Nothobranchius furzeri: one gene and its partners. The protein of the gene in region 1 interacts with the protein of each later gene in a pairwise test. Links are inferred from orthologs where the notes say so. Each region holds a gene or a part of one and is shown in the gene's direction. Other genes may lie near its edges.

Region 1 (3,662 bases):
TGCGGTACGCTCCTAAGAGTCCATCAGTAGTCTTTGTCATTGTGCCAGTTCTAATAAAGCTTTTTGATCACTTCTTTCCTTCAGACACCATAAGAAAGCAGTGAGGGGTGTGGCCTATCACAGAGGTTACCCTCTGTTTGCCTCGGCGTCTGATGATGGATCGGTGATCGTCTGTCACGGGACTGTTTACAAGTAAGACCACAAACACACCCTGAAAATCTATTCATAACAAGACTTATAAAAGACAGGATATTAAAACTTGCCGCCGTCTCTTCCAGCGACCTGCTTCAGAACCCGCTGATAGTACCTGTAAAAGTTCTCAGAGGTCATGTGATCACCCACGATCTTGGTGTTCTGGACGTGATCTTTCACCCCACTCAGCCGTGGGTCTTTTCCTCAGGAGCTGACGCCACCATCCGGCTCTTCACCTAAAGTGTTTTAACCAGCAGCAGCTCTGTGTGTGTGTGGGAGGAGTCTGACCTCCCTAATGGACTGATTACCAGGATACCTTCTTCTTTTTTTTTTGTTTTGTTTTCTGTAGTTTATTTTATTGTTTTCAATAAAATGTATTTTATTGTTTTCAATAAAATATATTGTTCTTACAATTTGTCTCTGTATGTTAAAACTAGGAGAATTATTGATTCTTTTTTTAAAACCTACAAAATGTAGTTTTATTTGTCTGCCTTCATTTTAAAGGAGTTTGTGTTGCGGTTACCTTTTTGAAAAACAAGACCATTTATTACAGCTTTCAAAAAGGAAATAAAATTATCTAAAATTATCAACATAATTACAGCTCTAAAGGTTTTTTTTTTTTGTTTGTTTGTTTTGTTGCCAGAGGCAGAAATTAGGACTATCCCAAATATAAAGTATTTGTGCTTCAAATTTCATCATTATGGATATTTTTAACTTGAACCAAGTTTTTGGGTATTTTGTACAAAGCTTGTTTCTAATAGTAAAAGTATTTGTAATAACCATGTAAATGCACGACTGCGCAGGCCTGGGAATATTTGTTGTATCTGTTGTTTAACCAGGTTAAAGGCCTCTCTTAAGAATAAAATCTCTAAGAATATCAGCTTTCTTTATGTATCAGTTGTGCTGAACACAAGCGGGAACTATGTTTAACGAAAATATTCGGGTACCAGGGTCTGCAAAATGTTCTTAGAATATTTACTACAAACAATTTTCTTTATAATGAAGTTGGTGTGACAAGAGTTTTCAACCATGGGGACACATTTCGAAGTGACACCGTCGGAGCGGTTTCGGTGTAACACCGAACCGCGAGTTCTGTTACTGGTAAATCCATTCTGTTACATCATGAAAAAAACTTCAGTTTGTTGGGTTTTACATAATTATTCGTCAAATTTTGTAGCAAAAAACAAACAATTTTCTTTATAATGAAGTTGATGTGACAAGAGTTTTCAACCATGGGGACACATTTCGAAGTGACACCGTCGGAGCGGTTTCGGTGTAACACCGAACCATGAAGGCAGTAAAGGATCGAATCACACCGAGTCGTGAGTTCTGTGTTTACACCAGCTGTTACTGGTAAATCCATTCTGTTACATCATGATTAAAAAAAACTCCAGTTTGTTGGGTTTTACATAATTATTCATCAAATTTTGTAGCAAAACGCAGTTGGCTTAAATGGTAGCTGCTACATTCTTATGGATATGATTTTATTATTATTAGATTATTTTTGCTGTTTGATTAGTGATGTCTTAATTTGCTTTGCAGTGAGGAGAATGTGTGGAAGTTGTGTGAGTTTGTTCAAACAGCGAGGACTGCTCCACTGGAACAGCTCTTTGTGGTTTTCATCTCTAATGACAACAGAATGGTGAGAAGATCAGCTCTGAGAAGTTTGTCATGTGTTACAAAACCCTTTAAACATATTTAACTCAACAGATTTAGTCTCAACAGGTCTAAAGTTTAACAAATCATCACGAATCCCCTTAAATTTGCCAAGTTTGTATAAAGAATCAACATTTTCACTAAGATCTGACTTCTGCTGCTGCTGCTGATCAGTGATGTTATTTGTTCTCCTTCAGGTTCCTCTGTGGAAGCAGAAGTCTGGACACGCTGACCATCCAGTGATCTGGGTCTATGATTCTCCTTCCTGTTAAAGTGGCCTCAGAGCATTAAAATAATACATTGTTAATCATGTTTTTTTGGGTGTTTTAGGACTACCATGTGATCCTGCTTCATGTGGATCCTCAGTCGGAGGTTCTGGTTTATGATCTGGACACAGAGCTGTCATTCCCATGCAATCTGAGGCTTTATGGCAGCCAGGCCCTCCGCTCAGACCACCACATCAAACCTGAATATCACAGGTAGCACTGCTGAATTACACAGGTAATGCACTGGAGTGAAATCACCAACACCTTCTCATATCTGTGACAGGAAGTTGCGTGTGATTCCTGCTGAGAGCTTCCTCTTGAACTTTGCGTCTGATCGAACTCACATGAAGAACCCTGATGGGAGCTGGAAGAAGCCCCCTCCCTCTTACCCCCCTTTAAAGACCACTGGTAACAAATCAAGTTAATGTGGAGCATGTTTTCTGATTCCTGTCTTAGGAAAAGGTGATTTTGTACTTTTGGTGCATTTCCTCTTCAGGGTGTCAGATGAACCTGGATGACTTCATCAGCATGAGCCCAGCTGTTGGCTGGGGGACAGTTTTCAGTCTGAATCAGTTTCTACAGAAATACTTAGGTTGCTCCTCCACCACCTCTTCATCTTCATCATCAGCTCAATCCTGATCAGCATCCTGGCAGCTGCTGTTTTGTGATTAGCTTTTATGTTATTATGAACATTTAATCTGAAATGATTGAGAGACTGAGACAAACATTGAACTGAACTTTATGTTTTGGGCTGAGCTGCATCTCGTTTGACCTCTCTTGAGTTTCACCTTGGCCTCTGAAGCTCAGAGGAAACCAGAAACATGACGACGACAGCGCTTCAGCCATGTCACAGATTCATCTGGAAACTGAAGTGATCCTTCATCACACACGCCTGTGAGAACTTTGAGCATCAGCACCTTGATTTCACCTGAGTTCCTGAGAAATAAAAAGATTTTATTTAATCTTTGATCGCGTTGGATTCTCTGTCTCTGTAGCGCAATGATAGAATAAAAATTAAATGTATAATTGTAACTTTTGGTGTCAATTTGAATCTTGGTTTCCAGAATATTTTAACAATTAAAACTTGGTGAAATTATGCAGATTCTAGTTAACAGCAGATTTGTGTTTGGGTATAAGTTCTATTTACCGTTATAGATGACTGGTGGAACTTGTGCAATCACTTTCACCTGTCATATGTTTGTGTTCAGTATGGCAGGAGTGGTTAGGACACTGGTTTAAACAGGAGGATCAGGCATGTTTGGTTTCAAATTCTTTTCTGGAAGAAGCTCAGGACAGCAACATCCAGATAAAGTAAGCAACCTGTTTTATTTTATCAATCAAACAATCTTTAAGATTATTTTCTTTTGAGTTCTTTGTCCCTTTGAGAAATGCACATCTCTTTAGAACAAACATGAGCGACAACAACAACTCTGACCAGGACGGGGGTCGGCAACCAGCGGCTCTGGAGCCGCATGTGGCTCTTCCATCCATCTGATGCGGCTCTCTGTGCTTGTAAAATAATGAATGGATATTTAAATAAAATGCTTT
Region 2 (4,315 bases), on another chromosome or scaffold:
TACCCTTAGCAGAAGTCCCCGTTAGATCAGGAATGTCGAGGTCCAGCTTGACCTTTATGGAGTCGAAGCCTGTAGGAACAGCTGCGGCAGCCAACCACCAGTCTTGAGATACTTCCAGGTCACTACAGTTTGTTGGCATCTAGCGAGACCCAAACCTGGGTCGTGATGGTTCAGCTTTTATTCTGAAAGGAACCGCTGCAGCAGGTGGAACAGCAACAGATTTTATCCAGCTTGTCGCTGGTTCTTTTGGCTGAAGAGGAAAGTTACGGATTTGTCAACCTCTCTAGAACGCTTTGAACTGGCGTTAAAGATGACGTGGGCATAGTTTTATACTTCGGATGTTTTGGTTTATGGTCGAATGAAAAGATGGCAGATTTACCAACCACCAGGGGTGGCGTTAGGCCCGGCTACTTGGGCTGAAGCCCCGGATCTTTCATGATAAGCCCCGGATCTAAATCGCGGAAGTAACATGCAGTACCAAAGTCCAACAGAGAGAGCGCAGCTGGCAGTAGTTTGTAAAGTCCCATTTAGTCGTCACACACACACAAATTTATTCTCCGCATTTGACCCATCCCCTGGGTCAAAATAGCTCGGGAACTATTTGGTGGTTTAACCCCCCAATCGAACCCCTTAATGCTGAGTGTCTAGCAGGGAGGCATTGGGTTCTATTTTTCTCAAAGTCTTTGGTATGACCCGACCAGGAGTCGGAACCCTGATCTCCCAATCTCAGGGCAGACACTCTACCACTAGGCCACTCAGTCGGTATACAACCTGCCTGAGCCTCCACCACTGAAGAGAAGCCCTTTAGCAGCTGGCTTCTTCTACAATCTCTGTTTGAAACGCATGAGTGAAGGTGGACATAAGGACGTTTTTTAGACCAAAAGTACAACGACAGAACCCCAGCCCTGATGAGACTGGTGTTGACTCAGGTTTGTGAGTCTTATTTGAAAATATTTGTTGTGCTGCTGGTTTGCCTAAAGTTAGCTTACTATCAGGTAAAGTTGTTGGAGAAAGAAAGGGAATATTTATAATATATAAAAATATATAATATCATCTCACACTAAACACTAACAGGAACAATACTCTGCCCTGAATATGCTTAATATGTAGCTTCAGATTAAACATTATGTGGTACAAGATATATATATATATATATATATGATGTTGACTAATGCGTGTCACGTGTGTGTGCGCATGCGTGTGTGCGCGTGCGCGCGCGTGTGTGTTAAGTCCCGGATCTTCTTCAGTCCTAAATCCGCCCCTGCCAACCACCACCCAAAAAACGCCTCCATCAGATCTGGCAGATTCTGATTGGATCAGTAAAAGCAATGTGTCATGTTGTAATGCTACGTGAGATCAGTCCTAGTGGAAACAACACTCTCTGCATGAGGCCTTAAGCAAAGATATTATGGCATCTTTGATTGGTTGCACGTCGGCTATACCTGTTTTTCTTTCTTGGAGGCCATACAGATGTAATGCGTCCCTGGATGTGTGACACAGTTTGTTGCTGAAAATTAAATGTTAATTTCTGTTCATTTGGATGAAAAACTCGACCATTGGTACGCTACACTGTGCTTTGCCTAATCATTAGCTCTTTGGACTTATAGAATGTAAAAGCTATTTCTCTGTGCTAAGGCTGTTCATGGAGGTATCTCCAACATAGGTAGTATTTTTTTACAACCTGATTATAACAGACTGATACCTCATGAGGATAAAGTAGCAAAGCAAAAGTTAATCATAGGCTAGTTTTATAGAACAAAAATGAACGTTTTAATGTGTTGGATTTTGGTTTGAGGAAGACCGGTGCGAGAACAGAGAGCGTGTCAGGAGCCAGCCCCCCCAGGCTTTAAACGGGGACATGTGAGCTTTATTTACGCCCTAATCTGAGCCAATGAGCCCGGGTCACATGGGCTTTATATCAGCACACCGCTCGCGTCAACCCCTTTCTCCTCAGCATCAGCGCTCCGATCATGGCCGGATTTCCAGCGGAGCGCATCGGTTACCTCACCCGGGAGCAGAGCTTCAGCGCCTGCCACCGGCTCCACAGGTAGCCCTCTCCTTCACCCATCCTTCAGGAACCGGGCCTGTCTGAGGCTCGAGCCGAATTAAGCTCAAAGTCCCCCCGCTGCCGGGGCTGGCTCCGATAGGTGGGCTCGTGCCCGTTAGCTATCTAAAATCATGGAAACACCGCGCTGCGATTACGTTATATCCTGACGAACGTAACAAAAACCCTAAAAACTAGACAAACCACTGCTGTACAGTTTATAAAAACCAAAGTTGTAGTTCTAAACCTTCTGGGAATTGTAGTATTTCGCTAAAGGCTTCACGCGCGTGCGGACTAATGTTGCATTCACGTGCTGTCTGATTTCCCAAGAGGTCTGACAACTGAGAAGTAACGACACAGGAAATGCACAATAACTAATGATACCGTGCTGTTTAATCCGCGGTAGTTTCACTTGTTAGGGTCATTATGTAAAGACGTTTAACTTTTGTTTACTCACACAGTCCTAGTTTGATATTTTTGGTTTATAATAATAATAACAACTTCATTTAGAGCTAGAGTCACAATGTAAATAAAATACTTGTTTATTCAGATAAATGACCTAAAAGCTGTTGTATACAAGATGTACCTGAAGGCAACACAAGTAAACAGTGTCTTGTGAGGTTTTTCTTGTTTGACTAACAGGAGCACATTGCCCAGATACAGATACAAGGATAAAAGGTTGTATTCTCCTCTGTAGTGTCCACCTGAGTGATGAGGAGAATAAACAAGTGTACGGAAAGTGCAACAATCCCAACGGTCACGGACACAACTACAAAGGTTTGTTCTGCTTCTTCATTAATCCATGTTCTACCATTTTATGGGTGTTCTATTCATCCAGATACATGATTTTACTCCACAGTGGAGGTAACAGTTCGTGGAAAGGTGAGTTTGACATAATTCTCTATGACAACTGTGTAGGATGCAGACTAGCCCTGTTAATGATGGTACATAATCTCCATCCCATTTTAACCCTGTGCCCTCAGATTGACCCCATCACTGGCATGGTCATGAATCTGACTGAGCTGAAAAGATGCATTGAGGTAAGACATTTCTGCAGGTCTTCCTTCTTAACACTGTTTAATCAGACAGACTATGTTTAAACAGGCCATTCATGTTTATTAATGCAGTAACACTCACAGGCCACTTTAAGTCACCTTGGACAAAAGTGTCTGCTAAATACATAAACGTAAACATAATAGGAACACTTTACCAGGTTGGGGCCCCCTTTGCCTTCAGAACAAGTTCTGCCTAAAGGTTGGTTTATGCTTGACGCGTCCTTGAGGTTCGCACAGCTCCGCGCGGAAAAGTTGCGTCATTTTAACAACCGCGCCTCCGCAAGGCCCAAACTTTCCGCACCTAGGAAATTTTCTAACCACGCGGACATGGAAAAACATGGCGGACTGGCCAGAACTAGTATGGCGGAGGTTCGTAAATACAGACATTTGTATGATTCAACTCTCAGAGATCACCGTGATCAACATGTTAATAATTCTTGGAGAGAAATAGCTCGCACTGTCGGAAAAGACGAGGACGCTGTTAAAAAATGCTGGAATGCCATGTTGTAAACAACAGTAGTTTTTACTTCTACTATGGTGTAGTGTTGGATGCATGCCGTAGAGCTCCATGCTGCCCCCTACAGTTTGGGAGAATATTGGCTCACCGCAGAGACGAGCCGCATGAACCATAAACGCTGCGAGTTGTGAAGCGCGTTCCATCCGCGAGCCGCATCACCAAGCGGAAAGTGAATGTGTCAAGCATAAACCAAGCTTTAGATCTTGATGTCATAGACTCATGATGTTGTCAGCCTTTATTTACAGAGCACCTTGTAAACATGAGTCATGTCACCAAAATGCTGTACAAGACTAGAATATGGAGCCTAAGTCACCCCCACCTACTGCTGGACCATGGTGAAAATAAGAAGTAATGAATGGGACCATAAAAGCTATGTTCCACTCCCGTTTGACATTTGCCATGGATTTCTTATGTTTATGTTTATTTATTTAGCAGACGCTTTTATCCTAAGCATCTTACAATTTATAACCTATAGGGCATGTTGTAATCTGTGGGGGAAACCGGAGTACCCGGAGGACAGCCACACATGCATGGGGAGAACACGCAACTCCACGCAGAAAGGCCGCAGCCCAGTTTCGAACCTGCAACCTTCGTGCTGCGAGGCAACAGTGCTAACCACTGCGCCACCATGCAGCCCATTCTTATCTGATGTCCGCTAATTAAAGACATTCAATTCAATTCAAGTTTATTTATATAGCG
Region 3 (4,309 bases), on another chromosome or scaffold:
CCCTGCTTTCAGGATTCTCAAGTCCTTATTCATCCTGGTGGTCATTTTGTTCCTGCTGCATCTGTTCACAGACAAACATATCAGGACTTTCTGAAAAGGTTTTCTTGAGAATTTAAAACCTAAACAGAGTCAGGGTATTTTAGCATCACAGCACTGTTCAGGTGCTTAATTTAAATGATTTCTGTGTGAATATTTTTTTCAGATTTTTCATTCGATCCATCCAAAATGTTTATTATGACTCATTCTCAGGAAAATAGATATTGTATCAAACAATAAATAATGGTATTTGACGTTTTTGTGAACTGTTTTTTGTCTTGGGAACTGAGCTTTATTATGCTTTTAGTGATATTTTCGTACTTTTGATCAAGAAAAATGTAATTCTCCTTTGTTTCTGAATGTTGGGAAAACTAAAGAACCAAAATTGGGAAAAATATTTACAAGAGCATTTTTAAACACTATTATTATCGTAATGCTTAGAGCTCGTTCTGAAAAGAAAACTTTAGTCCCCCCACCCCACCAAAAAAAAGTATTAAAATGTAAATACATAATACTATGGAAGCCCATTCCTGCCACTCAGATAAAAAAACAATGTATTATCTCATTATTATGACTTAGCTATCTCATTTTGAGATAGTATCTCATTATTATGACAGTATCTCAATTATGACTTAGCTATCTCATTATTATGAGATAGTATCTCATTATTATGACTAAGTCATAATGAGATAGTATCTCATTATTATGACTAAGTCATAATGAGAGTATCTCATTATTATGAGATAGCTAAGTCATAATTTTGAGATATTTTTTTTTATCTGAGTGGCAGGACTGGGCTTCCATATAATACACATTTTTCTATTACAATTTGTTTTTGGTGGGCCTTTTAGTGTGTTTTAACAATTATTTGTGTTTTAATGTAAAACTTCAGAAATTTGTCAAAACGATCACTGTCTGTAACTTTCCTTCTTTTGTACAGTAGGCCTACATGAAAATGGCAATTGTTTATTGAGAAAAGTTATTGCAAGAGTCCAGAAACGTGTATAAAATATCTTTCTGTAAACACCATTCCAAAAATGAGTAAATAATTACTAGAAATATTTGAAATGATCTACCTAAACAAACCATTACTAGAACAATAAGACACAAAAAGAACAGTTAGGATAAAGATTTAGATAAAATAGTAACACTACAAATAAATAATAAAAGAAATTAAATAAATAACGATTTATTAGAGAAACACTTGGAAAAACCCAAATTAGTTTCCGCTGGTGTTATGCCGAAAAAGGTACCCCCTGTCGTTAACAGGATCTCAGTACACGAACTTGCGTTTGATAACAGTAGTTTGTTCTTACGGATTAGAAATCCAAAGTTAACCTGTTTATTTTGATTTTTATCTATTTTAAAATCCAAACCTTGCTTTTTACTAGCTGGGGAACCTTCTGACGGCGGGGTTGCTTTATTCTGCACAACACCAAAAGACTTCCGGATACGGATACGGACCACGTAGCAACAGAAGATGCTTTCACGTCTCTGCTCCGATAAAAGCGAAATCCTGCCACCGCCGCTTCGTTCTCGCTGCTTGTCGGCTTCTAAAATCCACTCGGACTAAATTTACCACCAGATAGAAACGCCTGTCGATCACCATGGCCGGCGCAGAGGTATAGGGTTTAGTTTCAGTGGTGTTGTTTTGATTTTAGCCGTCAACCGGACGACAAACGCGCAGCCAAAAACCGCCCGGGGTAGTGTTTGTTTGAACTTATTCATTCTCATTTTTTCATTTATTTTCCTGTTTTTTGTCACAGGGGGCTAAACTCTGGGGAGGTCGTTTTGCCGGAGACACAGATCCGATCATGAAGAAGTTCAACGCCTCCATCCCTTTTGACCAGAGAATGTGGGATGCTGACATCCGAGGGAGCAAAGCCTACGCGAAAGCTCTGGAAAAGGCTCAGCTGGTCAGCACAAAGGAAATGGAGCAAATCCTGACTGGCATGGATCAGGTGAGCGTATTCAGTAAACAACTGGAATATCTGAAGCTCTGTTTGTTGGTCTGCTGCAGAAGTTTGTTTATGTGCACTGTGGGCTCTGGTTAATGCACGACAGCTGAAAATGTGCCATGGCGGAGGATTCCTATTTCCTGCTGAGTGTGTCATGCACAATAGTTGCATCACATGACAGGTGTCAGCTGCAGCAGCTCCAGTTACAGATCCATTCAAACCAGTTTTCAACATGCCCTCTATTTCCTGATGTGTGTCAGTGCAGCTGGTGAGGGAAAGCAAATGCACTGAAGAAATAAATAAACCTGATAACCCTGCAGATTTTCGAGGAGTGGTCTACAGGAGTTTTTTTGATCAAACCGGAAGATGAGGACATTCACACTGCCAATGAACGCAGACTTAAAGTGAGTTTCACGAGCAAAACATGCAGTTAGTGTACTGACTATTTTATAAAAATGCTACTTGTGTTTGCAGGAGCTGATTAGAGCTCCTGCAGGGAAGCTGCACACGGGCAGGAGCAGGAACGATCAGGTTCGTATCTGCGATACTAAACAAGCAGCTGATAGAGTTTTGAGCCTTTGCTGTTTTATTTGGTTAATCAGGTGGTGACTGACATGAGGTTGTGGCTACGAGATGCGATCAAAACCCTCACAGACAACTCCCTGCAGCTCATATCTACCATGGTGGAGCGGGCGGCAGTGTAAGGTGTTAAACACACTCTGATGGATAAAAACACAAGTTCTCGTCTCATTTTCTGTCTTGTGTTTGACTCACAGAGAGATTGACGTCCTTTTTCCTGGTTACACTCACATGCAGAGGGCTCAGCCAATCAGATGGAGCCACTGGATTCTGAGGTGATGAAAACCACAGAGTTTATCACTTTTTTTAATGTTTCTGAGTTTTTCACGCCAGTCTTTTGGGTTTTTCTTTCGTCAGTCATGCTGTTGCATTAAGCAGAGATGTGGAGCGGCTTTTGGAGATCAAGAAGCGAGTGAACGTCTTGCCTCTGGGCAGGTGCGCTGTAATTCAGTTCAATTCTATTCAAGTTTATAGCGCCAAATCACGACAAGAGTCGTCTCAACGCACTTCACATAATAAACATTCCAATTCAGGTCAGTTCATTAAGCCAATCAGAAATAATGTTTCCTATATAAGGAACCCAGCAAATTGCATCAAGTCACTGACTAGTGTCAGTGACTTTACAGCAATCCTCATACTAAGCAAGCAAAAAGCGACAGTGGAGAGGAAAACTCCCTTTTAACAGGAAGAAACCTCCAGAGAATCCTGGCTCAGTATAAGCAGCCATCCTCCACGACTCACTGATAATAAATCCGCTTGTGTGAGTGCAGCTTTCACACGGACCTGATTAAGTAACCAGAAGTATTTCTGTTTCTTTCAGCGGAGCCATCGCGGGAACCCCCTTCGACATCGATAGGGAGCTTTTACGCAAAGGTTTTGTTTTTATTTTTGCATTTGACCTGCAATATTTTTAAATTCACGACATAGATTATTTTTAACAATCTGCACTTTTTCATCCTTCACTGGATCTATAGAGTTAGGATTTGATGGCATCAGCCTGAACAGCATGGACGCCACAGGCCAAAGAGACTTTATTGGTATGCAGATTACACATTTCAGATTATCATGAAATGCATGATGTGCTTTTCTATTTGTGTTTTAATTTGAGCTATGTCTTGTTTGTTTTTAAGTGGAGTTTTTGTTCTGGGCTTCTTTGTGTTTGATCCACCTCAGTAAGATGGCCGAGGACCTCATGCTGTACAGCACCAAGGAGTTCTCCTTCATTTCTCTCTCTGATGCCTACAGGTAAAGGTTTTTTGTTGTTGTGCCTCTGAATTGTGTTTTATAAAGGTGGATGGGTCGTCCTTTCAAAGGTCATGGTCACATGACCACTACTCGAGAGAAAATGATGAAAAACAAGAATAAGATTTATTATAAACTCAACTGAAGGTGCATAATAAATGACATCCTGTGGTCAGTTTGTGGTACTGCAGTCTGTGTATCAAAACCAATAAGTCCACGCTTAGCTACGGTTGCCAGTTATGGATCAGTGCCAGAAGGTTCTAGATAACAAGTGATGATGAGTCATACACAGTAAGTTGATGAGTAGATAAAATGTTTTACTGTAACATCAAGTTGTTTGTTATTGAAAAAGTAGCTTCTGCGACACTCTTTTTACTAGCTTCCATTCGTTTCCACAACATTCTAGCTTTTTTCCGGTTGGTGTAAACAGCAGCGTTTGCTGGCGCAGACTTTACAACCTTGGGGGCTCGCATATGATTGGCTCTGGAATCAGG
Region 4 (4,104 bases), on another chromosome or scaffold:
GGTGGACTGTAGAGTTTGCTGAAGAGGCGGCTCTCCTGTGTTGTGCCATGCTCTTGTGTAATTGTTGTTTAGTTTCTCTAATGTAAACATCTGGACAGTGCTCCTACACTGGACTACATAAACTACCCCACTGAGCTTCTGTTGGGGTGTTTTGTCTTCTGGATGGACCAGGTTCTGTCTGAGGGTGTTGTTGGGTTAAAGTTTACCGGGATGTTGTGTTTGGAGAAGATTCTTCTAAGTTTCTCTGAGTCTCCTGCCACGAATGTGATGATGGTGCCTTTGTGTAAAGGATGTTGTTGTTAGGTTGGTAGCAGAGCTCTCATGTTTAGTGCTAAGTTCAGTGAGATCATGGAATGGGATCAAGAATTTTCTACTGACAGGAAAAAGATCTCAGCTAACATAGCTGTAGATCACACTGGATAACTTTGTGTGGTTGCATTTATTTTACTACTTCTTGCTAGAGCTGTCTTTAGTAAGCTCAAAGTCAATTTGGTTGTACACCTGTGAAATAGCAATAAATGATCTTGAATACTGTTAAATGTACTTCCTGAATGAGTGACCTTTTAAGGCTAAAATAACAAAATGACAAATACAGACAGAAGGATGACTTATTTCTTCTTTTGTAACTCATTGCATCACCACCTGGTATCAGAACAGTACTCGGTATTGGAAGATAATCAAAAATCAAACAACCTGGACTCAGATCAGAGGCAAAAATGTGGTTGTAACATCTCTAGATATAAGTCAGCTTTATAAACTAAAACAATTATTTATGAACTAACATTAACACTAATGACACTAATTGATATATTTTTATTATGTTGTTTGAACCCAAGGGTCTCATTATCTGAATTTTCTAACCTGTTGGATTGTGAATCTGTTTAAAAGTTTTGCTCTATAAGTGCCCCTTTTTTTACTTTGAGCTCCCGCCCCGTCAAAGGTCTCTGCACAGCCCTGATGTGCAGCATAGATGTAAAACAGGCCATTTTGGTTCGTTATAAATAAATGTCAGGGCCAAATTTTGTTTTTTTGGTCTGTTGTCTCTTTAGGGACATCTCGTTTCTATTTTATATTATTGTTCGACTTCTTATTTTGATGTGTATATTGTCATATTTTAGAACATTTTGCATCTATTTGCTCCATTTTGTCAAACCTTATTCACAAGTTAGTTTAATTTATTTTAGTTATTTTCATAAAACTAACTTGTAGACTCAGCTTTACATTTAAGTAATGTGCATGAAGGTAACACGAACGTCTACGTCATTTTCTTGCGACACGCAACTCGCTGCGTGAAGCTAAAAGCGTGAAAGTCTCTAGATGGTGTCAACAGAACTATTCAGACTTTGAGAGCTGTTTTCTTGCTGGCGTGTAAAAAGGTTTGGTTGAATCAAACATTTGAAACATCAGTTTTGCTTCTCTGAATTATTTGAGGCCGCAGCTTTGCGGTGTAGCGGTTCTGGTGCTGTCTAAACATCTCTAAACTGACTGATTCTTGCTAATAAAACGTCCAGAGGTTGGTTTTGAGTTGGAATAGCGGTTTTTAGGCTCCTATCTTATTTCAAAATGAATGAAGAAGGTAAGGCGTTTCATGTGAGGGATTATCTGCTCTGCTGTGGACTCGCCGATGCTAAAACTGTCCTGTCTCTGTGGTCCTGGATCAGAGCTGGTGGAGTACTTCAGGGCTCAGATGAGGAAAGACCCGGGCATGGCCTCTGCCGTTGCGGCCATCCGCACCCTGCTGGAGTTTCTCAAAAGAGACAAAGGTGTGTATGTCACCTCATATATGCCACCTCAGTATGGATGTTTTCATACTTTAATTTCAGATATACTGTCAAGCAAAGCACCATTATGTTTTTGATATTACAGATTATAATTACCACTTATTAATCATTTTAGGTTAAGAACAATTTTCTTTTCAAAAAGCAAGTATTTCTTCTTAAATTCAAACCTCCAGGTTTATTCAACATCTTTTACATTTAAGGACTTAGGCTGATTTTTCCACTCATTTTTTAAGCAGCCAAAGTTGAGATATAAACAAAAAGACCTTCAGAAAGTTTACAGAGTGGTTGATCTCTTTAAAATATTACAAGATGATTTGATTGCTTGGAAGCAAATTATAAAGAATTGAAATGTTTGCCAAATGTATGATTGGAATTTTAAAGTATTTTTATTACTTGTAGTCTTTTTGTATTTTTCTATCTATCTATCGTCCGTCCATCCATCTATCCATCCATCCATCCATCCATCCATCCATCAATCTATCAATCACACACTGCTCACAAGAATTAAAGGAACAATTTTTTTATTGGGCCTGGCATGAAATCAATTAAATCCATCCATAAAGTGGCAACAATTACAAAACCCTCAAAACAGGACTGGTTTAACATGTAGAGGTCATTTCAAGTTTCTCCCTCTTGAGCTTTTTCTGCTGGTTTTCCACTCGTGCTAGTTTTGGCTCTCTACTGGCAGTATGAGGCGATTCCTTAACCCTACAGAAGTTGCACAGGTTGTCCAACTTCTCCAGCATGGCACATCCACACGTGCTGCAGTAAGAAGGTTTTAATGTGTCTCCCAGCACAATCTCCAGAACATGGAGATTTCAGGAGACTGGCGGTTATTCTGGGAGAGCTGAACAGGGCCGTAGAAGGTTCACAACCCATCAGCAGGACTGATATCTGCTCCTTTGTGCAAGGCGGAACAGTCTGAGCACTGCTCGTTCCCTACAGAATGACCTCCAGAGGGCCACTGGTGTGAATGTCTCTACCCAAACAATCAGGAACAGACTTCATGAAGATGGCCTGAGGGTCTGACGTCCTGTAGTGGGCCCTGTGCTCACTGCCCAGCACCGTAGAGCTTGACTGGCATTTGCTCATGAACACCAGAATTGGCAAGTCCGCCACTGGCACCCTGTACTTTTTTCAGACGAGAGCAGGTTCACCCTGAGCACCTGTGATAGACGTGAAAGAGTCTGGAGAAGACAAGGAGAATGTTATGCTGCCTGCAACATCGTTCAACATGACAGGTTTTGGTGGTGGGTCAGTGATGGTCTGGGGAGGCATATCCATGGAGGGACACACAGACCTCTACTGCCTAGGAAATGGTGCTCTGACTGCCATAAGGTATCGAGATGAAGTCCTTGAACCCGTTGTCAGACCCTACGCTGATGCAGTAGGTCCTGGTTTTCTCCTACTGCATGACAAAGCCCGCCCTCATGTGGCAAGAGTATGCAGGCAGCACCTGCAGGATGAAGTAATTGAAACAATTGAATGGCCTTCACGATCCCCTGACTTAAACCCAATAGAACATCTGTGGGACATTATGTTTCGGTCCATTAGGCAGCACCAGGTTGCTCCTCAGACTGTACAAGAGCTCAGGGATGCCCTCACACAGATCTGGGAGGAAATGCCACAAGACACCATCTGTTGTCTCAATAGGAGCATGCCCCGACGTTGTCAAGCATGTACACAAGCTCGTGGGGGCCACACAAGATACTGAAAAGCAATTTGAGTTGCAGAAATTAAGTTTTTGAAATAATGGACTAGCCTGCCACATCTTCATTTCACTCCGAGTTTAGGGTGTTAACACAGTTGAGCCCTCTCTAGGCTGATAACTTTTATTTCCATTAAAAGACTTGGCATCCTTTTGTTCCTAAGACATTGCCCTGTCGTTATTTGTATAGATATCCAACTTCATATTGAGATCTGATCTATCTAATGTGTTTCTTTAAAGTGTTCCTTTAATTTTTGTGAGCAGTGTGAAAAACGAATTGCCCCTTCCTGATTTCTTATTTTTTTGCATGTTTGTCACACAAATTGTTTCTGATCATCAAACACATTTAACCATTAGTCAAAGATAACACAAGTAAACACAAAATGCAGTTTTGAAATGATGGTTCTTATTATTTAGGGAGAGAACAAAATCCAAACCTACATTGCCCTGTGTGAAAAAGTAATGGCCCCCTTGTTAAAAAAATAACCCAACTGTGGTGTTTCACACCTGAGTTCAATTTCTGTAGCCACCCCCAAGCCTGATTACTGCCACACCTGTTTCAATCAAATCACTTAAATATGAGCTGCCTGACACAGAGAAGTAGACCAAAAGCAC
Region 5 (4,161 bases), on another chromosome or scaffold:
ATTTATTCTCACCTTTTCCCAAATCTCCATCTCAGCGTCTGACTCGTCCAGCCAGCGGTCAAAGTCTGGAGTCAGGAAGACAGGTCTACGCTCCTGCAGGGTGAGCCTTTCCCACCAGCCTCGCCGCTCTTTCTGTACTGTGAGGTTTACCTGACGTTGTGTGGACTTGTGCCTCACCTGGAAACATAAACTGATGTTACAGCAAAATTCAGTATAACATAAAATGGTATGATGGTGAGAAAAGGAAGGTTATTTAGGATAAAATGTGCACCTGAGGCTTTACTGGAAAAAGGAACTCTAAGCTGAACTCATATTCATGTAGTCCTTTTGCACCGTATCCCTGGGCTAGATGCAAAACACAAATCATGTTAAAAATGACTTTTCCTTTAAAACATACATGAAATTCATAAACATACCTCTGAATTGAAGGACATTATCCTGCACCTGGACATCAATATTCTGCAGAACAAAGACAAAACAATGACTGATGATGCACAAACTTCCTCCTAACTGAAGCATCGCTTTGCTTCCTGTGATGTGCACAAACCTGTAGGATATAAAACATTTACATGATTACTAAGTTTCATCACATCAACAAAAGTAACTTGCCCTAAAGATTTACCATTTGAAACCAACTTTGTACATTTCATGTCATGGTTTCAGTTTCTCTTAAGAAACATCTACAGGAGCTGACAGTGTTGCAAAGACTTCAACACTACGTGTGGAGTATGCCTGATTTTCTTTGCAGTGCAGCTTCAAACTAAATATTCGGTCATCTCAACACCCTGAAACAATCCACCTCCACATCAGAAAGGGCTAGAGGATATTTCTGCTATTTTAATCCACTAGACGGACCTCGAACCCACGCGTGTCTTCTTTAAAACGTATCCAACTCCACACGTGAAGGATTCAGCCCGAGGAAGGGAGCTTTGTAAAGATTATTACCCAATGTATCTCTGAGATCGTCTCCCGACAAGCAAAACAAATGTCATGTTTCCACGAACGTTCGATTTTTAATTTGCTTCCGTGTTTACCCCTAAATAATAAAGCTAACAGTAGCCAGGTTAAAGTACTCACCTGGGCGTCCGTCAGCTCCACTCGCAGGAAGATTTCCTCGTGACGTTGAGCCCAGTGAACAAGAGGCGTGAGAGTCATTTTATTTTACTTTTTACCTTCAAATAAAATAAAAATAAAATTGTGAATATTTCATGCTACCTTCGTTGAAAGCTTTTAGCTAATACCCCGCGTAATCTAGTACCAACGCGCGCGCGCTCCAAATCAGACGTAGCGACGTGCTCGTGTCAAAAGAAGCGTAGTTCTCTTCTCTGATTGGCTCTCGTTTAATGTTTACGGATGTGCATCAGCGCAGCACCGCAGCAGCAAGTTGTGGAGCTCTCCCTGAATCTACAGCTATCATGCAGACAGATGACAGCGTTTCATCTCTGAAAAAGGATTTACTGAAACCTCCTGGGTCATTTCGTGTACTTGTTGGCGTAACAGGAAGCGTCGCAGCATTGAAACTGCCTGCTTTGGTCTCCGAGCTTCTCCAGCTCCCTGGGGTGAACTGATTCACAACTATTATCAAACTTCAATTTAGAATCTCTGTTGCCAGATGAATTTTGAAACATAGCACGGATTTGTTCCTAAACTGAATGACCTTACCTTAACCGCAAGATGGGGACATTTGCCAGAAACTTAAAAATCTACCTTTTTGTTTTGCGAAAATATTTCCATCAGTTTAAAAATAGTTTTCAATTCAAACGAAACTATAAATGCTCATTGTCAGTGTTTTTTATTTAATTTTGTTTTTGTTGTTTGTTTTTGCTTCAGGTGGATGTAAGGGTGGTCACCACAGAGCATGCTAAACACTTCTACAACCCTGCAGAGGTGTCAGTAAACATCTACAGTGACAAAGATGAGTGGGAGGTAATACACACCCATTCGTGTGTATTATTCTATATATTTCCTCATTTTAAAAACATAGTTCTTTATTTAATATTCTTTCATGCTCATAAAGCATAGTACTGTTGTTGAAATTCACAAATAAATTCAAGTTTGGCGTGAGTTGATAATTATTCATCTAATTTTCTAGTTATTTCTTAGAAGTTTGACAGAAACGTTGTCCAGGGTCAAAAAAGATTGTGAAATGTTTGCATCCTGCAGTCCAGTGGGAAGTTTAGGACATACATGCCTCACTGATTGTTTGCTAAATAAACATTTTTCCTTTTTTTAGTTTTGGACACAGAGATCAGATCCTGTGCTACACATTGAGCTAAGGCGATGGGCTGACCTCCTGATCATTGCTCCACTTGATGCCAACACTCTTGGAAAGATTGCTTCTGGTATTTGTGACAATCTACTGGTGAGGGCAGGAATCCATAATCATATCCTTCACAATAACCATGACACAAACAATCTAACACACATTTTACACATGTTTATTTTCAATGTGATTATAATTTGCTCTTTTAGACATGTGTAGTACGGGCCTGGGACATTGGTCGGCCTCTTCTGTTCTGCCCTGCTATGAATACAGCGATGTGGCAGCATCCCATCACAGCCCAGCAGGTATCCAGGCTGAAAGAGTTTGGATATGTGGAAGTCCCCTGCATTTCTAAGAAGCTAGTCTGTGGAGATGATGGTGAGTTATTAGTGTCTTTATTTTATTAATTGGTTGTATACATATATCATTTTTCTCTAAACAAAAACACACAGGACAAAACAAAAAAAAAATCCCCAACCACCGTTGTACTGGATAAAACAAAAATAATATAAAAAGACACAACTCAGGTTTCAATATGGCGCCAAGTCATTATAAAAACTACTCAGTTATATTTTATGTGAAGTTACCATACCTAAAATAAAAATTCCATAAATAATGTCAGGCAATAGAACAGTTTAATTTATAAGTGCTCTGAAATACAAGTTATCATATAAATGTAACATATTCAAAATATAATAATAATAATAATAATAATAATAATACATTTTATTTCAACAGCACCTTTCTAAACACTCAAGGACACTTTACAGATACTTTAAAGTATGTTTGGAATAAACATTTAGTTACAGATCAGTAAAAACAGAAAATTATTCAAATGTGGTAAAAAGCACTATGTTTTCTCTCTCTCTCATAACAAAGCAGTCCTAACACGCTTATAAACATGTACATGTACAGTTTTATTTAATCCCAAAGTAGATTGTTCTGAGATGGGTGGGATTAAACCACTGTCTTGGATAAACAGAAATTTAGATTTTTTTTTTAAGAAACAACAGATTCAAATGAAGAAGAGTATTATCTTCCTGAAATAAAACACATTAAAGCTGTTATGGCGAATCTGCTAACAAGCTAGGTTTTGAACACAAACACGGTCACGGAACACTCACCCCTCCCCTCAGGTATCTTCCCTGAGACGCTTCTGGCACGACTGGAAACCTGTAATGCCGGATGAAGCAAGAGAGTGCTAAACACCAGTTGCCGTCTTCTAGGTCCAAACGTCTTTTGTTGTCCGTGACTTTAAATGGCGTGACTATTTCCTTTTGGGACTCTGGTAGTTTACCCTAAAGTTGAAGTGGTAGCAGCCGGTTGTTTCTCCTTCTCTGATGTTCTTGAGCAGAGAACCTCTCACACCAGTGGTGTTCTGCTGCTAAATATGTGAGTGCGTAATGAATGGAGGACCCAGGGAAGTGTGGTGGTTCGATGAGCCAGACAACTGGAAGGTCCAGATGCTTTTGCTCCAAAACATGTTATTGATGGATAGGGCTGCAACAACGAATCAATGAAAGCGATAAAAATTGTTGTGTAGTGCAACCTTTATATAACAGTCAATGCGCACATTCAAGTTCAATTCAAGTTTATTTATATAGCGCCAAATCACGACAAGAGTCGTCTCAAGGCACTTCACACAGTAAACATTCCAGCACAGGTCAGTTCATTAAGCCAATCTCATCTCATCTGTATGTGGCAGCAGTGCAGACAGAGGCAGATCAGAACAAGAGAGACATATACGTCGCACGTGTGATGGAAAAACAGTATGCGATAAACTATTTTTAGACATAGCACTCAAGCGACACTTTTCCTAGTAACTTTTCTTCCCTAGAACTTTATTTAACACAGGTTAGATGCTTTTTACTGGCGCACAATGTACCAGTCTAGGTGCT
Region 6 (4,046 bases), on another chromosome or scaffold:
TAGTTCTAATTAAACTAGCATCTTTACTCGGTAAACAAGTTGAAACTAATGGGTGTTGCACAGGTTAAAACTCACCTTTAATAAAAAACACATCAATTATAAAACTATCAGAAGAACCAATGAAACAAGAGATACAGAATAACACACAAATCACTCTGCTCACCAAAACCACCCTAGCAGAAAGCTTGCCTTTATAAAAGCTGTTATTTCCGGTTCTGACTTTCAAAGTAAAATGCAAAATTGTCATACCACACAAAAAGAATCATTTAATTATTTCCCAGCTTTATTATAAAATGTTTGTGTTTTTGTCAGTCTGTAACACATCTGTTAACTTGTAATCTGCTGGTTATTCCTGTAACTGACCAAACTGGCCAAAACATTACGACCACCAGTTCTGATCCACATTGAGGTTTGTGCACAATAAAAAGCTGTTAAAAGCTATAAAATATAGTTTAGGCAGTTGAGAGCAGTTTTTCTAAACGATGTATTAATTTAAAACATCTTAAATAAATGGATCCTGTCGCCTGGTTTTCTGCCAGAAAAGCACCATCTTACAAAGTTTGATTGGAGTCAGCGAGTTGTTCAAGACACTAACAAATATGTGGTTTTTAACAAATCTAATGTGTTGTACCGCAGTCACAAGAGTCATCTAAAGGTGTTCTTCTGCAACCATAACAACCTTATTATGAGGGTGTGAACGCCCCACTGCCGGTGATGGTGATCTAGTTAATCCTGCATCAGAAACATTGGAAATATAAAGAAGAAAATGACCACTTCTTGGCCCTAAGATTCATGGTTTTAATAAATACAAATTGTCACACTGATGTAAACAGTCACCCGAGTTTTATACTAACTCTCTATAAAAACACACTCCTATTAAGTTAACCAGCCATTAGATTCAAGTGCTGGTGGTGACATCATGTAACGATAGACATATATTAATCCATGTGTCACACACATTTCATAGTGTGTTCTATGCAAATAGATGGTATTTAAAAACACAGAAAACCTTTCACATACATGTATTTACATGTTTCGGATCTTTGCAGAATAAACCGGAGATATTTTAAAACTGTAAACGAGAAATAAAGTGGTTTATTAAAGCAAACAAACGAGAAAAAAGGGCAAAATTGCTGTGCTTTTACTTTGACGGCTTACTTCCGGTTTCGGTGTTGTTGCGTCACTACTATCTGTCGCTTCACAGCTGAGTGAAGAAGCCTGACGGAGGCTGAAGGAGGAGAGCGGAGATTGAGGGGCGTCCTGACAGAAGCAGCAGGAGGAGAAAAACCAGTTCACCCACTCACCACCAGTTTCACCTCCTCTCCCACGAGACAAACCAGATTTCTCTTTGTTTTTGGGTTTCCGTCAGCGACCATCGCGCAGCCACAGCAACACCGCCTGACTGGGAAGTTTGGTCTCGTCCCGGTGATGTCCGGATCGTACTGCAAAAGTTTGTACCCGTTCAGCGGGGAGCAGCACCAGCAGGGACTGAGCTTCGAGGCTGGGGAGATGATTAGGGTGGTCCAGGCTATACCCGGAGGCTGGTGGGAGGGGGAGAAGGATGGAGCCCGGGGCTGGTTCCCCTCAAGCTACGTGCAGGTCCTGGAGGTAAGAGACCCGTCCTGACCCCAAAACAACCTCCAGCGGTGAGCCTTCTGAGCAAAACGCTCTGAACAGCTTTATTTGCTCTCTCTCTCTCTCTCTCACACACACACACACACACACACACACACACACACACACACACACACACACACACACACACACACACGCTGATACGCAGCTCTCCCTGCTGGTTCCGACTGGGCGGCTTCCTCATTCCTCACACATTCCAGGGATGCGTTCAGGTCCCCCAAGCCACACGCCCCACCAGGTCTCCAGAGGCGAATTAAATTATTTTGGGGCGGAGGTGAAGCACAGACTTGAGCCCCCCCTCACCTCTTGCCATCATTTGTTTTAACATATACCATAAATCCTCTAATATTGGCAACATTTTGGCCGGTGTCGGCGGAGGTGAATAATGGCCGGTTTTTTATTGTGGCCGGGTGGAATGTGGTAACAAGCAAGTACAGGGGCGGTTGTGTCATCCGTCTCACTTTTGATTTGCCAGTGATAGACCGCGAGGGTAACTTTAACCGTGCGGAGACGAAGAGGAGGCGAAAATTTGATATCAAGTTCAAAGAGAACGTGCTGATTATGCTGCAGAACACTCTGGGGAGCAGTAGCAGGGTTGTATGAACTAGTCACTAGTCGACTTCACCGCTCTATAGTGACTTTTTATGCCTGTCATCGACTAGTCGCTGTCACGTGATAATGACCGGCAAGATGTAGTCCATGGAAATAGAGCTGAAACGATTCCTCGAGTACCTCGAATAATTCGAGTACAAGAAATCCTAGAGTCAAATTCTCTGCCTCGAGGATTCGTTGAATTCATATTTAATTAATTCATGGCTTTGCAATCGCCCGGGGTCATGTTTCACCCGGACCGAAATAAGTGACGCACATGCCCACTGGACTGAATGCACAGCGAGTAGCGAATGTAACTTAACTTTCTCTTAAGCCATGGCGGACAACTTGTACCCCGGTGGAGTGAGAAAAAGACAGAAAATGTCAAAGGTGTGGGACCATTTTTTACGTCGTAATGCGGAAAACGTAGTCCAGTGTAAATACTGTAAAATGGATTTAGCCTACCACAACACCACATCCTCGATGCTGCAGCACCTGTAAATGTCACTTCTGCAAGCGGACTCGGAGCCTCTACAAGATGATGCATTTTAGCCTGTATTTCTATATATTCTGCGGACACTGCGACTTTTTCATTTGTAGCACTTAGTTTCAGTTCACACCGTACGTCTGGTAGCAACACTTCGGACTTAAAATGTGCTAAAAATAGCAATTTGGCAGTCAGGTTGTTATTTTTTGCACAGGCATTTGTTTACTGTGAAGTAAAGTTGAAGTGCTGAAGTTTTGCAAACTAATTTTGAATAAAACTTGAAGAATAACTGGCAATTGCTTTCTCATTTTAAGAGGTCTTTCATAATTATAACATGCTATTTGATATAATGGTTTACAAACACAAAAGGGTAATTTATTAGAGTACTCGATTAATCGAAAAAAAGATTCGATAGAGTACTCGATTACAAAAATATTCGATAGCTGCAGCCCTACATGGAAAAGACAGCAACCTGCTCCCAGCAGGTGACAAGCTCCTGCGCGTCGGGAGGCAACGCGCTGTGCCAGAGCGTCGGTACTGACACCCGCCGTAAAACGGACATTTAACTAAATTGTGACCTTTACCCTCTTGCAATTTAACCTTCCCCTCACCCCCATCCTAACCTTAACCAGCTTGCGCATGCAAAGCTCTGATTGTTGACGTGCTCCAGACATCTGCGTCCTGAGCACGGCCACAGTAACATTATCAAATCAGGTGTCGCCACCTCAAAAACTAATTTAACACACGATCATTCATGTCGGCTCATTTCCTTTTATGTTTTCTGTCTTTTATTCTTTTATTTGTGCCTGATGCTTTTCGCTGCTGTGGAGCGGGGCGCATCACCTGTTTTGTCCTCGGTGACGCACCTAACTGATGTGGCCAGCGAGCACTCCGCTGTTTTTGCGGTCGGTAGATCTTTTAGAACTGCAGTTCAAAGGTAACTCATGAGGTGAAAATATATGACCCCAGGTAGCAGTTTCTCTTTAGGATTGAGAGGAGATGCAGGAAGATAATAAACAGGCAGGACAGAAAAATAGTCAAATAAAAACAAGTTAGTTTTTGTACCTGGTGGATGCAACAAACAGACACCATTGAAGGTAATCAGAAGTGAGGAACAGAAAATGAAATAATTATTTTAATGTTTAGAGCAGCAGGAACTCTGAGAGGCTGCAGGCGCATCAGTGAGTTTGCGGCCGCTGCGCAGGGGGAGGGGGGAGAGGGCTGAAGCAGGGGGAGGGGGGAGAGGGCTGAAGCAGAGACTACCGTTGTTAAAAGAAATGTGTTTAACTTTGAAAATGTGGGCGCAATTTTAATTGTCAAAAACTCCAGCGAA
Region 7 (4,209 bases), on another chromosome or scaffold:
GTATTTTCTCACACTGATTATTTTGTTTTGGATTATTAAAGAGACAATATGTAGTTTTTTATCATTAATCTCTGGAAATATCCATCGAAATGTTGTTCAAAAAGAATAAAATGACGTCCAGATGTTGAAAAACATTGGAGGCTTTGTAACATATAACTATAAAAATCTGGTCTAAATTGCAGTCTTTGGAGGACGCCATAGACACCATGTTTCCTTCTGGCTGGCTCGGGGTCCTGCGCCTGTCGATGACATCACACTAGATGATTGGCTGGACGTACGACTTACAGGAGTTTTGTTAGTTTATTTAAACTAGCAACAGTCATGGCGATATGGTATAAAACTACCCTGAAATGTGTGTCTGTACTGCCCCCCAGTGCCAGAAAACTACACACTGCCACTTTAAGCTCTCGCTGAAAAGTTAAAATATTAATAATCATTGAACAAAATTGTTTGCCACTGTTTTCATTGATTGATTGATTGACACTTTAGTGTTTGAACTTATCTTTACATTCAGTAATGGCCAAGTGCATTGACGGACTAGCCATTGGGAGCATAGGGACATGTCCCAGTCCCCACCTGGACAAGTGTATCTCTTGCCCTCTAAATTTTGACACATTTGTTACAAATTTGATGAAAATAAAACCTTTTAGGTTCTTTAGTGGAAGATATCACGATCATAATTCAGTATATTAAATAAGTTAATTATGACTTTGTTATAAACAAAAAAACATTTATTTTATTTTAATAAGACAAAAGTTGTGCTTTTAAGAATGTTTTGTCATACCTGCTGAGATTTTTGACTGAAGGCTTCAGTCTAGCTCAAAACTAATTTCTGCTGTTGTGTCATTTATCAGCTGGTCTGGGGACGCGGTTTGGTAGCGCTCCCCCAGAAGACCTGGCCCAAGTGGCTGGGGAGAGGGAAGTCCGGGCCTCTCTGCTTAGGCCGTTGCCCCCATGACCCGACTCTGGATAAGCGGAAGAAAATGGATGGATGGATGAAACTTGTTGAACATGTTTTGCATCGACCATAAAATTATTATAACTTAAGAAAAAAACAAATAATTTGGTAACACTCCAATATCCTGAGATCCGGACCAATGCTTGAACAATGTTTCCAGCTATAAGTAACTGGCTTTAAGAGGTTTTCAATGTTTTCCATAGATTCAAGAAGTGTTGTTTTTCTACGGCAAACTGCCTTAAAAACTCAACAACAAAAGCATTGACGCCACTGCAGAACCCTTTGCTTTGATATGTACGTATCGTGTGGGTTCGCTCTTCATCTGGGCTACAATAAAGTTAATGCAGGAATAAATAAAATAAAGACAAGATAAAAAGTATCTGGTTTAGAGGTGAGTAGCTGTACCCCCCAGCACCAATGCAACACTGTTTACCGCTGTCAAGTACATCACACCTTTCTTTTAAAATCCATATAAAAATCTGTCCTCTTCCTTTGGACAGGGTTAGGGTAATTATGGTAAGTTTACTCCCTGGTGAATGATTGGCTGACTGTGTCCTCACCCCTTTCACCCCTCGGTCCCATTCACATTTAAAGCTGAGCCACAATGAGCTCATTCAGTCAAAATCAGGTCTACAAAACGCCAAGAGCCACTATGGATGGAGTCAACTCCCGACGGGACATCACTGTTGTCAGTCGCTCCAGGGACCTGAGCCAAGAAATGGTTAAAAAACTGATTCATCAGTCGCAGGAGGTAAAGACGCAATCTTACTGCCCTTACAGCAAATTCCGGGTGGGAGCTGCTGTCATGACCCTCGACAACTGTGTGTTTACAGGTGAGCTATGCAAAATGTTGGTAATTTCCTCTTTAAGCCCATGCTTTTCTATTATATTTAGTATAAAAAAATTTAAATAATGTGTCTGAGTCAAAGCCTTCTAGGAGACATAACAGAATTCAATATTAAAACAACACAATAGTGCATCCGTTTGCTCTGATCTTCATACTGCTGGATCATGTTAATGATTACCCATCAGGTCAAATGTCTAAACTTGAGAAAAGCTCTGGAGTAAAAGGCCAACGTTCTCCACACCCAGTAAGTACAGTCGGCATGTGCACAAACAGAAGTCGGAGACACGGTGCTCCTGTCAGCATCACTGGACAAGTCACCTGTCCTGTCACGTGGGGGAGGTACGGGGCGATGACTGGAAAACTGCTGCAAGTCCAAAGACCCCTCTGACTATTTGAACAGGCCAGCAGAAGTAAACACTGTTCCAGAAGGTAAATGCCCCTCATAAGTTAAGTCACCCCATGTCTTTGTGTGTCTCTCTAGGGTGCAATGTAGAGAACGCGTGCTACACTTTGGGACTGTGTGCTGAAAGGAACGCCATCTCGAAGGCCGTGTCAGAAGGATACAGGAGTTTCAAGGCCATTGCAATCGCCAGGTAAATGTACATTGTATTGCTTCATGTTGCATTTATTTTCACCTCAAGAATAACGTAACAGTTTACAGTAAGGGTCCCTCTATTAACGTTACTGCATTATGAAGCACTAATAAACAAATAATCCCTTTATTAAAGGGATACTATGCACATTTTTCATATTTTTAAATAATTGCCTTGAGCCAGTTCGTGCTTAAATAACTATTTACAGGGTTAATGGAATGTCACTCAGACCCCACCGCCCCCTCTGGCCAGAATATCACACTTGCAACTTCAGAGTTGCTGGTCTGTCCCTGCTGGGGGGAGGGGGGTTGAGTGGAGTGGAGCAGACATGGTGGAGCGGTCTGCTTCCAGCACGTTCCCTGCATGTTACTGATGGTGAACACAGCTGATTTGTTTGATTTAGTGATAAACCGCTCCTCTAGAAGATAATGAAGACGGAGGAGACGCTACAGCAGTAAGATTAAGGTGTTTAAAAGATGAATGCACGAGGAGATAAGTTTCATTTTCGGTTTAACTACAGTAAATTAAAAACGGACACTAGGGGGTGCTAAAAGCATGCACAACTACCTAGTGTCACTACCGTTGTAAAGGTTAGGACAAATGGCTGAGTGGGCAGAGGGTCTGCTAAGCAATGCATTACATTAATATGGTTAAGCAGTTTTTAATACCCTTATTTATTAATGCTTGATATTGCACAAAGTACTGTAAAAAATTACCAAATTATTCATAAAAGCCAAACAATTGAGTTTCATTTTTCTTGTAAATTCCTCCAAACCCCATTTGCTTTCTGCTACGTTTTCCAACTTTCTGTTTTTTGCAGTGACTTATGCGACCAGTTCATCTCTCCATGTGGGGGCTGCAGACAGTTCATGAGAGAGGTCTGAGCTCCTTGTTCCATTTGCAGAGTTTAAATGAGTCACTAAAGCAGCACGCATACTAATCAGCACTAGCAGGAGTAAAGCACTAGCCAAAGCTGGTTCCTTTTTGTGAAATGTGAAGTTTTTGTTTTTTTGACCTACAGTTTGGGTCCAATTGGGACGTTTACCTGTCCAAGCCTGATGGATCGTATCAAAAGCGGACGGTGGACGAGCTGCTGCCCCTCTCGTTTGGCCCTGAGGATCTATCCATGAACAAAGTGTTTAGCTGAACATGCTGTAGTGATACAGCATGCTTCATATGTGTTTAGCAGCAGTTATATTTATGGTGAGAAGTTTGTTCTCATGCCGTCTCTAAATTATATTTAAATCAACTGCGAGAGGGAAAAATATTATTGATGCAATGATTTCATGTCTACTTCCTCAGTAGCATTAAATGCACAACTTATGTTGGTAAAAATATTTATTGGTTTAAAGAAGCATGACAGAAACGAATGGTCACACATTTTAATAAATAGTTTTTAAATGGAGTCACGCTTCATTCCTTATTGAGAAATGAACACAGTTTCAGTTCAAAGGACAAACAAAAGAAGAACATATTTTGTATCAGTGTACTGCAAATGTTTCTATTTGAAGAGACAAAAAGAAGAGCCATGTAAGCTGCCAGTGCAAAGTGACAAAATTAATTCATGAGTTATTTTAAGTCTACCTATCATGCGTAAACATTCAGAGGCTAAAGATTAGAAGACATATTGTTTCTCTTGGATTCAGAGCTGTGGGGGGGGATATCAGGTAAATCGGATTTTTCTGGCTAAATTGTTCATCAAAAGGAGAGAAAGCACTAAAGTCAAACTCTAGATTGTTATTTCCAGGCTTTAAGTACAAGTAGCAGTGCAAAAAAATTGCATCCGTTTTTTGCTGAGTGACAACTTAATT

The links.
Region 2: the proteins of ntaq1 (region 1) and pts interact in binary tests that used the Homo sapiens proteins (3 or more experiments, as listed by UniProt). The two-hybrid records come from large-scale screens. The link is inferred for Nothobranchius furzeri from reciprocal best matches to the Homo sapiens genes NTAQ1 and PTS.
Region 3: the proteins of ntaq1 (region 1) and asl interact in binary tests that used the Homo sapiens proteins (3 or more experiments, as listed by UniProt). The two-hybrid records come from large-scale screens. The link is inferred for Nothobranchius furzeri from reciprocal best matches to the Homo sapiens genes NTAQ1 and ASL.
Region 4: the proteins of ntaq1 (region 1) and eif2b1 interact in binary tests that used the Homo sapiens proteins (3 or more experiments, as listed by UniProt). The two-hybrid records come from large-scale screens. The link is inferred for Nothobranchius furzeri from reciprocal best matches to the Homo sapiens genes NTAQ1 and EIF2B1.
Region 5: the proteins of ntaq1 (region 1) and ppcdc interact in binary tests that used the Homo sapiens proteins (3 or more experiments, as listed by UniProt). The two-hybrid records come from large-scale screens. The link is inferred for Nothobranchius furzeri from reciprocal best matches to the Homo sapiens genes NTAQ1 and PPCDC.
Region 6: the proteins of ntaq1 (region 1) and gas7b interact in binary tests that used the Homo sapiens proteins (3 or more experiments, as listed by UniProt). The two-hybrid records come from large-scale screens. The link is inferred for Nothobranchius furzeri from reciprocal best matches to the Homo sapiens genes NTAQ1 and GAS7.
Region 7: the proteins of ntaq1 (region 1) and cdab interact in binary tests that used the Homo sapiens proteins (3 or more experiments, as listed by UniProt). The two-hybrid records come from large-scale screens. The link is inferred for Nothobranchius furzeri from reciprocal best matches to the Homo sapiens genes NTAQ1 and CDA.

The regions. Positions count from the first base shown.
Region 1 is NC_091759.1:9,346,589-9,350,250, forward strand, and holds ntaq1 (protein N-terminal glutamine amidohydrolase), read left to right. Parts: upstream 1-1,386; 5' UTR 1,387-1,480; coding exon 1,481-1,545; intron 1,546-1,734; coding exon 1,735-1,834; intron 1,835-2,045; coding exon 2,046-2,096; intron 2,097-2,178; coding exon 2,179-2,327; intron 2,328-2,397; coding exon 2,398-2,522; intron 2,523-2,610; coding exon 2,611-2,753; 3' UTR 2,754-3,081; downstream 3,082-3,662. Other genes in the region: ribosome biogenesis protein bop1, read left to right, coding at 1-4, 85-192, 279-432. UniProt on the Homo sapiens protein: Mediates the side-chain deamidation of N-terminal glutamine residues to glutamate, an important step in N-end rule pathway of protein degradation.
Region 2 is NC_091756.1:21,286,742-21,291,056, forward strand, and holds the start of pts (6-pyruvoyl tetrahydrobiopterin synthase), read left to right. Parts: upstream 1-1,478; 5' UTR 1,479-1,970; coding exon 1,971-2,047; intron 2,048-2,741; coding exon 2,742-2,821; intron 2,822-2,903; coding exon 2,904-2,926; intron 2,927-3,027; coding exon 3,028-3,084; intron 3,085-4,315. UniProt on the Homo sapiens protein: Involved in the biosynthesis of tetrahydrobiopterin, an essential cofactor of aromatic amino acid hydroxylases. Catalyzes the transformation of 7,8-dihydroneopterin triphosphate into 6-pyruvoyl tetrahydropterin.
Region 3 is NC_091750.1:61,113,819-61,118,127, reverse strand, and holds the start of asl (argininosuccinate lyase), read left to right. Parts: upstream 1-1,483; 5' UTR 1,484-1,643; coding exon 1,644-1,658; intron 1,659-1,802; coding exon 1,803-1,997; intron 1,998-2,314; coding exon 2,315-2,398; intron 2,399-2,468; coding exon 2,469-2,525; intron 2,526-2,596; coding exon 2,597-2,694; intron 2,695-2,770; coding exon 2,771-2,848; intron 2,849-2,930; coding exon 2,931-3,008; intron 3,009-3,393; coding exon 3,394-3,446; intron 3,447-3,547; coding exon 3,548-3,610; intron 3,611-3,703; coding exon 3,704-3,818; intron 3,819-4,309. Other genes in the region: esterase OVCA2, read left to right, coding at 1-108.
Region 4 is NC_091746.1:40,378,720-40,382,823, reverse strand, and holds the start of eif2b1 (translation initiation factor eIF2B subunit alpha), read left to right. Parts: upstream 1-1,266; 5' UTR 1,267-1,563; coding exon 1,564-1,576; intron 1,577-1,661; coding exon 1,662-1,763; intron 1,764-4,104.
Region 5 is NC_091744.1:66,310,544-66,314,704, forward strand, and holds the start of ppcdc (phosphopantothenoylcysteine decarboxylase), read left to right. Parts: upstream 1-1,343; coding exon 1,344-1,559; intron 1,560-1,830; coding exon 1,831-1,926; intron 1,927-2,233; coding exon 2,234-2,362; intron 2,363-2,472; coding exon 2,473-2,641; intron 2,642-4,161. Other genes in the region: hacd3 (very-long-chain (3R)-3-hydroxyacyl-CoA dehydratase), read right to left, coding at 13-177, 272-345, 417-459, 1,078-1,155. UniProt on the Homo sapiens protein: Catalyzes the decarboxylation of the cysteine moiety of 4-phosphopantothenoylcysteine to form 4'-phosphopantotheine and this reaction forms part of the biosynthesis of coenzyme A.
Region 6 is NC_091756.1:21,480,254-21,484,299, reverse strand, and holds the start of gas7b (growth arrest-specific protein 7), read left to right. Parts: upstream 1-1,216; 5' UTR 1,217-1,428; coding exon 1,429-1,608; intron 1,609-4,046. UniProt on the Homo sapiens protein: May play a role in promoting maturation and morphological differentiation of cerebellar neurons.
Region 7 is NC_091743.1:52,750,809-52,755,017, reverse strand, and holds cdab (cytidine deaminase b), read left to right. Parts: upstream 1-1,358; 5' UTR 1,359-1,562; coding exon 1,563-1,791; intron 1,792-2,286; coding exon 2,287-2,398; intron 2,399-3,218; coding exon 3,219-3,276; intron 3,277-3,419; coding exon 3,420-3,545; 3' UTR 3,546-3,803; downstream 3,804-4,209. UniProt on the Homo sapiens protein: This enzyme scavenges exogenous and endogenous cytidine and 2'-deoxycytidine for UMP synthesis.